Drosophila melanogaster: one gene and its partner. The protein of the gene in region 1 purifies or fractionates together with the protein of each later gene. This does not show direct contact. Each region holds a gene or a part of one and is shown on either strand. Other genes may lie near its edges. The genes, in order: Khc-73 and CG10887.

Region 1 (5,177 bases):
AGTCCCCCGGGCGATTTGCCAATTTGGCAGCAGGCGTGGGCCAAAAATTATCGAAAATATAAATATAATATGGCTAATGTTTTCTTTGCTCTCGAAGACGTCGTCGAGATTCGCAGTTGTAAGTCCCCAGATAGCCAGTTTGCATTTTATGGCAGCTAATGGCTATTCGATGAAACCATTTCAAGGGTAAATCGTAAATCTGCGCTTGGCTTCGCATCCACTATTATATTATTTTCCGATTTTTGCCTATGCAAATGAACCTTCACCTTAACTTTGCGGATCCCGATCGCCCAGTTTGGTTTCTTTTTCCCTCGTTTTTTCTTTGGACAAACGATGGGTTTTGTAACTAATATTCGCGAACTGGCTCTGGTTTTGCCATGTTTGCTGCACGCTGGTTTTTAATGGAATGGCTGTAGGAAAAATGGTGATTTATATTTTGACACTGCCTGCTTATGATCGCGTTTGGGGGTCAAGGATCGATTTCAATCCGGGATCTGCAACTAATCGAAGTGACCTACTTTTCAAACAATAATCCAATCAATATAGAACTGTCCTTGGCACTCGCTCTTATTCCAAAAAATATTAGTTTACCAGTATTTTTGTCTTGTTTATTTACTTTTGTAAGATTCGCAATCGAAACTAATTTTTAGGATGTGTGTGTTTTTTTTTTTAGCGCGACACTCGCAGCTTCGCGTCTTTCGCAGATACTGTGACCCTTTGCGGCGATTCCAAACCTTTATAAACTCCGTGAGCGCCCAAAACGCACGTGAACAGGTATCAAGCGGGTATTGAGTTAAAAAAATTAATAAAAAAACAGCAACAAAAAATGAGATACGAATGAAAACAAACCGAGCGATGAAAGCGAAACTGCTTTTCGCTTTGTTTATTTTTGGGAATCGGAACGGCCTGCATTTGCGATCGGCTCGTTATTTTTTTTTGGTTCACACGTATACGTCACTAGGCCGGGCTCAAATTGCCGGTCTTGAGTTCTCGTTTTTCACGCCGATCGATCGCGTTCATTGACTCCGCTATGATGGGGAGGCGTTCTTCCGAGTTGAAAGTCGCTCCCTTAATGAGGCAGTGGATCCTTGCATATGCGAAACTAGAAACCTACAGGAACTACATTTTTCTTTTTCATTTTCCGTTGGTAGCTTTTTTATTCGTCTATATATCAATATCAATAAAAAGTAAAACGCAACTGATCAAGTTGCCCACTTATGCGACCCAACTTCAGTTTTTTTGGAACAAAATAGGTTTCACTGTACTGAAAATCAGCATTGCAAAACAGGAAGTGCCACTTAAAATGCAATTGCAAATGGAATGGTTCCACTAGGGAACGGTTATTTTCCAACAGGGTCAAAATAAATTACAGGAATATACAACGGAAGAAGCCGATATATTTCCACATTAAATTAATAAATGACAAGTCAAACAACAAATTAAATCTAATATGACGTTCTATAAGTAAAACTTATGATTATTTCATAAAAAAAGTATACATTGGTTTGAAAAAAAATGGTCCGGGGAATCTGGGACTCAAAGAATTCGTTCTTAAAAGATAATTCAAATGATTTTAAGATCGTGGTCAGATTATTTACTTTAGTTTGTAGTACGCTAAGTAAACGAGTTTTATTTAATTTTAAAATTATTAAATATTTTTTAACATTCTAGCTGGACAATACTTCTACCTTTGTATATGTTACCTTTATATAATATTTGCAATAACATCATTATATATATATTCACTTTTTTAATAGATCCAAAGTTTGAAAATAACGATATTTTAAAAAGCCCTTTTTTCGGTCTGTGAATGGTCACACTAAAATTCAATTTTAGAACTTAGCGAGTTCACCCACCCAAACTAGAATTAAGCACATCGTTTTTGGTATTTTTAGAAAAGAAAACTGTGGTATTTCTTGGGCACCCTGCACACGGTCACACTCATCGATAGTCGCAAGAGCAATCGATGATTCTGCATCACTAGTAAAAATTGCTGAGAAAAACGAAAACGCGAAAAATGAAAACGCAATACAGAAAATCAAAATTGAAGTGAAACCAAGTGCGAAAACGAAGGAGCTAAAGGTGCGGTCAAACGATAAGCATATCCCAAATGAAAACAATGCGAGTGTGCAGCCAAAAGAGGCCCCCATTTGTGTTGCTCCCCTCGAAAGAAAAAGAGCCATAAAAATCGATTCTTCAAAGAAGTCGCACACTGCGTTCGAGACTTTTTTGCGCGGGCGGTGGAGCCTGGCGTTGCTTTTCGCCAACTTTTCGTGGAGCTCGTAAAGTTTTTGTATTTCGCGTGGCTTTTGAGGGTTAAAAAGAGCTACCTGTGCATAGTGCATACCTGCTGATCTGTGTGTGTGTGGGGGTGTAGTTGTGTGTGAAAGTGCGAAAAGAATATCAAGTCTGTATGTACATATTCGCATTTATTTGGACAGCCCTGAAAAATCGGACAGGACACTAGAATCACATTCTTAATTAGCTAATTTCCAGTAAATATTTGAGTGTGTCTCGCGTAAATAACGGAATGCCAGCACATGACAATAAAACGTATCCGTGTGCGTGCAAGTGTGTGTGTGTGTAGTAACAACAAAGCAAAAAAGCAAAAGCAAAACAAAGTGAATGACAAACGGCGAGAACGAAATGGAAAACCACCCCCCGCACCACCCACTTACTGTTAGACATGTGTGCGCGTGTGTGCGTGGCGCTAATTGAACTCACACAATATATATAATTTATTTTTTTTGGCGCTCCACAAAAGCCACTTACTTGTGAGTCAGCTTACGACTTCCACCTGCCTTCCAGATTGCGTGCTCATAACTCCCGCGAGGACGACAACTACCGCTAACAACTAACGGTCATAAAAGTCAAAAGCAACGAAGCCCGAGGAGAAGGAGCTAGCCACGCCCCCCGCTGCAGCCCCCGCTTAGGGAGCCCCGCCCATCCGCATATCCACTCCGCTTCATCTAAATAGAGATTCAAAAACAACACCCGCTGCATCCACATCCGCGATGGCTAGTGATAAGATCAAAGTCGCCGTAAGGGTGCGACCCTTCAATCGCCGAGGTAAGTGCCGATTTACATGCCCCACATAATCCCCTGTACTGGGAGAAAAATTCGCCAACTTATGGAGTTTCAAAATATAAATGTTTCACAATCGACATGAGCACAATAATAAGCAACAGATAGACATAATTTCTGATTTTTCATTGTACAAAAATGTTACATTATCGTAAATTAAAAAACAAAATAATTTTGGAGTAAATCTGAAAAGCTACAGACTTAAAGCTTAAATATTCGCCCTTTAATTTTGTGTTTTAATGCGCTCATATTTATCTATTGTTATGTTAAAACTTTCATCTTTTTTTTAGTATAATAAAGTAGTTTTACGGTTGGTCGTGAGGGTGGTTAAGCAATTTCTATAAAATTATAACATCAGATGCCAGGCACTCCATTTATTTTGTAAGAGTTGATAATATAGTTCATAAGGAGTTGCCTTGAGTGGCCCGCACTTTCCATTTTCCCCACTTTTTCACATTGTTTCCCAACAATGGCCAACAAGCACTGCAGTTGCCTGCAATCAATAATGCAAACAACCAACCAGGCAAGCGACTGTTTTTTTAGGCTAACGAAATTTACATGGGCTTCCTCGCTTCCTTTGAAATACGGTTTCGTTTTTCAACTGCTGCGCCAGCGGATTTTTCGCAGGGCTTAACTGCAGAACTACAGCGTCTACCTACGGGATGGTAATGGGATGGGATGGATTGGGATGGTTTTGCAAGGTCCCCGGTCTGCTCGTCTGACAAACGATTTGCGTTTCCAGCTAATTTCGCGTTACCCACTGCCAGCCACGAAGTGTGTTGCAAGTGCAAAATAACTAAAAATGAAAAACAAGCAACAGCGCCGTCAGCGTTTCCAATGTCAACACTGATCATTCATTTGGCTCATCCATGACTCACACTCGCGGCGGCGTCGGCGGAAGCGAAGGATGGCAGCGGAAAAGGGGCTCTACGACCCAACCATATGCAAAAGATACCTATGTAAACGCATATAAGCGTGCTGCATGCTTGTATTTATGTGCCTGTGCGTGGGGCAAGGTCCACTTGGATCCCCTGCTGTATTGATTGAATGGCAAACTTTGATTGCACATCTTATTTATATTTACATAAGGCATTGAATCAGTTACATTTATTGCATTTTGGTGCACCCTCTGTTTATAAATTGGCATAACGTAAAGTTTGATTTCATACACATATAAACAAACGGCAGGCTTAGAAAGTATTCCATTTATATGGGTCACGATCCTAATTGATTGAATGACAAACCTACACCGATGACTCCATGTTTGTTTATATTTACATGATTGTATAATCCATCAAAACACATTTCTGTTGTTATTTTGTAGCTTTTCTTTTCATACTCAGTTTGTCATAACTCGATTAGATGGACTCTAACCTATTAGGTCTTTATCTATAGCGAAGCTAATGGATGAATTAGGATAATTGCAATTGCATTCTGGTTTTAGAGGTAGTCGTTGTGGAGCATAGTGCAATAATTGTGCACTTGCAAGTATTTGCAAATGAAACACAAACTAGTCTTAGTAGCTATGGGACCTTAAAGTGATGAATTCTGCGATCACAGATGCTCATTTAATTACAAATAACTTTGTAATTTTGACAAATTTATTACCACGCTAGTGCCAGCTACTTGTGAAACTAATTAATTGTATCCGTAACACTTGTATATACTTGTTTATTGGCAAACAAACAACTACTTCTGGTTATCCATCATAATGTGTCACTTGTAATATTTTCCGGCCAAGTTAGGCGTACGCATGGACTTGGTAACCGCGTGTATTTTTAGAAGTTTGACCGTGTATCGATGTTGTACTTTGTCATGTTTTTGGCTTGTTTGATCCGTTGCTGTTTTGGTGTCTGAAGAGAGTAGTAGTCGTAGTCACCGGAAAGTCTGCGATAAGCAACGCAGAATCGTTATCACTGGGCTGATAAAGGCTTGTATTTTGCGATACCCAGCGTGTTACACACTTGCAGTGACTGGCATTAGTCAACAGTGTATTTGGGCCATGTCCGTAACTGGTGACCTCTCCGCGTTGAGCTGGCCAGCAGAGCGTAAAATGAAAACAGAAAAGGCAATTTCAAACGCAAAGACACGGC
Region 2 (4,906 bases), on another chromosome or scaffold:
TCCTGAACAAGAATACAAGCGCCTGAATCTGTTATTCTGTTATATACTTGTGTTTAAGATACAGTAAAATACTTTTCAATTAAAACAATAGCGATATTCACGGAAACAAGTAGAACAAAAACTTAATGAGACAAAATAATCATAGTTAACAACCAAATGTATAACTATTTTCAGGATAACGCCTTTTGCTAACAAATAAAGTACTTATTAATTTCAAATTTTTAACAAGCTAAGTATGTATGTATCTTATTTCGGCTACCTGAGATGGCGGTGACAAATATAAAGCTGGAATCAAAGAGCAAAGTCCGACTGAGCCGCTGACCAGAAAGCCACCCACTTGCCGCCCCCAAAACCCACATACGACCCACCGAGTCACGAGTCCAATCTCCCAAAAACACCAGGCAGCAATCCAATGCACCTACCATTAATTGCTTTGGGCGTTGGTATGCCGGCCAGTTTGGCAGTCGGACAATGGCATTTGGGTTAGAGTGCTCCGCGCTGCAATCACGACCCCATTGTGACCTTTAGCAATTTCTGCGCCGACTACCAATGTCTGCCTGCCTCAGCTGCCACGCCCCCTAATTAAGGCAATGGCCGTACACCCACTGTGGGCGCGAGAAATTGTTAATTAAATATCAGTTGCAGCTACTCCTGGCTCTACGCTTTGTTGCGTGCTGGCTAATGACATGTTTATTGAGATTTCGTATCTAGCGGCTATTTAATATTTAGTCGGAATCTGATCCGGAATAGACCAAACGCGTGGGCTTGCGGATAGCACCTCCGATCGGGAGATCGTCTTCGGAACTCGATTGCTTTCCTTCCTCCTGGGAATTGGGTGAGCTCCAAGAAGCATCATCGTCCATATGATCTTCGGTATCTTCCTCGCTGCGCATTGGTTCATTCGTAACCTCCAATGCAGAGCTTGTCTCGCAATCTGCACCCTCACCGTCGTCCTCTTCGAATGCCCCTGCGTTTTTGGCCACATTGTGATCGGAGCCTTGATAGTGCCTGTCACGTTTCGGAGGATGATTCTTCATAAGCGCGCGATTCTTTTCACGACCCTCCTGGCGAAGCTTGGACAATTCCTCCTTCATGCGCCGATCATGATCGTGCTCGGGATTGGAGCCCATGTTCGTTATCACCTTAACGCACCCAGACTGTGGCTTATTCGTGGCTCGATTACGCAAGGCCTGGACATGACTCTGTCCGAAATTGGAGTCCAGCATGGGACGCACAGTCAACTTATTCTGGATCAAACCCTGAGGCTGGTAGAAGCTGCCCAGGCGAACATACAAATGGTTCTGGTTAACGGTCACCGGGTGATGCATCATATCGAAAACCTCGTTGCCCACATGAAAGGTTTCGCTGCCATCGGACCAACGAACAATTTTCGCATTGGACTCCTTGGTTTTGTTTTCGTTCTCGCGCCACCTAACAGTTGCCTTTAGACGATTTATGAAATCCTCGCGTGACTGTTCGTCCTTCAAATCATTCTTAGTCATGCGATCCTGAAAGGTTTCAGGCACGTATGCCTTGGATTCCACGGGTATGAAATAAGGCATCTTCAGAAACTGCGATGGACCTTTTAGAAGTCCACAATTTTGGGTTGTTATGGTGGTCTGGAACTTAACTGCTACATCTTTTTCAAAAGGTTTGCGTTGTTCTTCTATATCAAGAACTTGCGACTCCTTATCACCATTTACCTCTCCATTCATTCCATTTCCATTTTGATTCTTTGCATTATCACCGTAATCGAAATTTAAATCGAGACTATCAGAAGAGGCATACGACAAGACATCGGATTCCTTTTCATCTGAACTATATCGCAATTGGGACAACCTTTTTTCAATGTTGTAATTTTTTCCATTTGATTCATACTCTGTATTTGAGCTGGGACCTAATGGCACAGGATTGACCCTGGGTTTTAAAATATTACCTTCGGATGATGTCGGTGGAAATGAAGAACATTGCAATGGGAGCAATTCTTTTTCCATTGTATTACTTTTATTTATTGGGGTCGATGTAGAATGTTGCTTCGAGAGTAGGTCTTGTTCCATCTCATCAATCAATCCATTTGCTACTTCATTCGAGCTTGGAAAATTGGAAATAGAAACTGTCCCAGGGGACAATATGTTGCCCTCGTTAGAGAGCTGTTGATTATTATCTTCGTCAATGATTGTATTGAAATTGTCTTTAAGTTCTATGAGGGAAGTTGATTTTCTGATGTTAGAGACTGTTTCAGAGTCGACACTTCCCTGGTCATCACTTTCTGAAAAGCTCGGAATGCCGCCAACCTGTCCCGCAGAAGTTGTGGTTTCATTTGAGATATTTGAAGAAGATTTCGGGTTGCTCCAGTTAATAGATTTCGGTTCTGGAGCACATAATAATGATGATGAAAGCGAAGATGAAGTCGAAAACGAAGACGATTCTCCTGAATCTGGTGGACTTCCGGAGCTGGATTCAGAGGTCCAGCTTGAATTGGATGTGGAAATATATGGTCGTTCGCTTTTCGATGATGTCTTGGCGTTCAGATCAGATCGAGATTCAAGAGGTCCCTGCGATTCAGGAACACTATTTGCTGTTGAGTGAAAAGAATGTGAACGGCTTTGGTGCTGCCTTCGTGCCTTAGTTTTATTTCCTTGTTGATCAACGCTGGAGAAAGAGGGATTCGGGCTCCTGGAAAAGCCATATGGGATTACTAAGTTCTGCAGAATATATGTACCTAAACCAACCTCCTATTGAATGCAGGCCAGCTTTCGGAAGATTCACCATCTAAAGTAAAAGCGTAGATAATAATTCAATTTTTATTAATATTCTATAGACTACAAACCTTTTATTACTTGATTGTCGTGCAAATTGGGGTCAGCCATTTTTAGCGTAAGGCGAAGAGTTAGTGGAACACAATTTCTTCACAAGCAGCACAGAAAAAAAACTATATGGTTTTTTACGTAATGACAGCCGAGCCAAGTGACTGATTTATCGATTGTTTGACAGAGTTGTCTGGGCAAGAGTTGTCAGCTTTTCTAACAATCAGTGTTGTTCCCCTACTGTTTTAATTGGTTTAAAACTGTTGGAATATACTATTCAACCTACAAAAATAACGTTAAACAACACTACTTTATATTTGATATGAATGGCCACACCTTTTATGCCATAAAACATATTGTAAGAGAATACCACTCTTTTTATTCCTTCTTTCCTTCTTGTACGTTTTTTGCTGTGAGTAGGTCGTGGTGCTGGTGTTGCAGTTGAAATAACTTAAAATATAAATCATAAAACTCAAACATAAACTTGACTATTTATTTATTTATTAAGAAAGGAAATATAAATTATAAATTACAACAGGTTATGGGCCCAGTCCATGCCTAATAAACAATTAAATTGTGAATTAAAGATTGTGAAAATAAATTGTGAAATAGCATTTTTTCACATTCTTGTGAAATAGCTTTTTTTTTCACATTCTTGTGAAATTATTTCCTTCTCAGAATTTGAGTGAAAAATGGACAAGGCTAAACGTAATATTAAGCCGTTTGATGGCGAGAAGTACGCGATTTGGAAATTTAGAATTAGGGCTCTTTTAGCCGAGCAAGATGTGCTTAAAGTAGTTGATGGTTTAATGCCTAACGAGGTAGATGACTCCTGGAAAAAGGCAGAGCGTTGTGCAAAAAGTACAATAATAGAGTACCTAAGCGACTCGTTTTTAAATTTCGCAACAAGCGACATTACGGCGCGTCAGATTCTTGAGAATTTGGACGCCGTTTATGAACGAAAAAGTTTGGCGTCGCAACTGGCGCTGCGAAAACGTTTGCTTTCTCTGAAGCTATCAAGTGAGATGTCACTATTAAGCCATTTTCATATTTTTGACGAACTTATAAGTGAATTGTTGGCAGCTGGTGCAAAAATAGAAGAGATGGATAAAATTTCTCATCTACTGATCACATTGCCTTCGTGTTACGATGGAATTATTACAGCGATAGAGACATTATCTGAAGAAAATTTGACATTGGCGTTTGTGAAAAATAGATTGCTGGATCAAGAAATTAAAATTAAAAATGACCACAACGATACAAGCAAGAAAGTTATGAACGCGATCGTGCACAACAATAATAACACTTATAAAAATAATTTGTTTAAAAATCGGGTAACTAAACCAAAGAAAATATTCAAGGGAAATTCAAAGTATAAAGTCAAGTGTCACCACTGTGGCAGAGAAGGCCACATTAAAAAAGATTGTTTCCATTATAAAAGAATATTAAATAATAAAAATAAAGAAAATGAAAAACAAGTTCAAACTGCAACATCACACGGCATTGCGTTTATGGTAAAAGAAGTGAATAATACTTCAGTGATGGACAACTGCGGGTTTGTCCTTGATTCTGGTGCTAGTGACCATCTTATAAATGATGAGTCGCTGTATACCGACAGTGTGGAGGTTGTGCCTCCACTTAAGATTGCAGTGGCCAAGCAAGGCGAATTTATTTATGCCACTAAGCGTGGTATTGTCCGACTACGGAATGACCATGAGATTACACTGGAGGATGTACTCTTTTGTAAGGAAGCTGCTGGTAATTTGATGTCCGTAAAGCGTCTCCAAGAGGCAGGAATGTCGATCGAATTTGACAAAAGCGGTGTAACCATTTCGAAAAATGGGTTAATGGTTGTCAAAAATTCAGGTATGTTAAACAATGTACCTGTGATCAATTTTCAAGCATATTCTATAAATGCTAAGCATAAAAATAATTTTCGTTTATGGCATGAGAGGTTTGGCCATATAAGCGATGGCAAATTATTAGAAATAAAACGAAAGAATATGTTTAGTGATCAAAGTCTTCTAAACAACTTAGAGTTATCATGTGAAATTTGTGAACCCTGTTTAAATGGTAAACAGGCAAGACTTCCTTTTAAA

What was found.
Region 2: the proteins of Khc-73 (region 1) and CG10887 purify together in Drosophila melanogaster (affinity purification with mass spectrometry, with the first as the bait; one large-scale study listed by BioGRID). This does not show direct contact.

Annotation. Positions count from the first base shown.
Region 1 is NT_033778.4:15,529,027-15,534,203, reverse strand, and holds the start of Khc-73 (kinesin heavy chain 73), read left to right. Parts: upstream 1-1,944; 5' UTR 1,945-2,082; intron 2,083-2,808; 5' UTR 2,809-3,014; coding exon 3,015-3,069; intron 3,070-5,177.
Region 2 is NT_033777.3:20,112,903-20,117,808, reverse strand, and holds CG10887 (uncharacterized protein), read right to left. Parts: upstream 2,972-4,906; 5' UTR 2,871-2,971; coding exon 2,831-2,870; intron 2,773-2,830; coding exon 2,733-2,772; intron 2,677-2,732; coding exon 726-2,676; 3' UTR 670-725; downstream 1-669.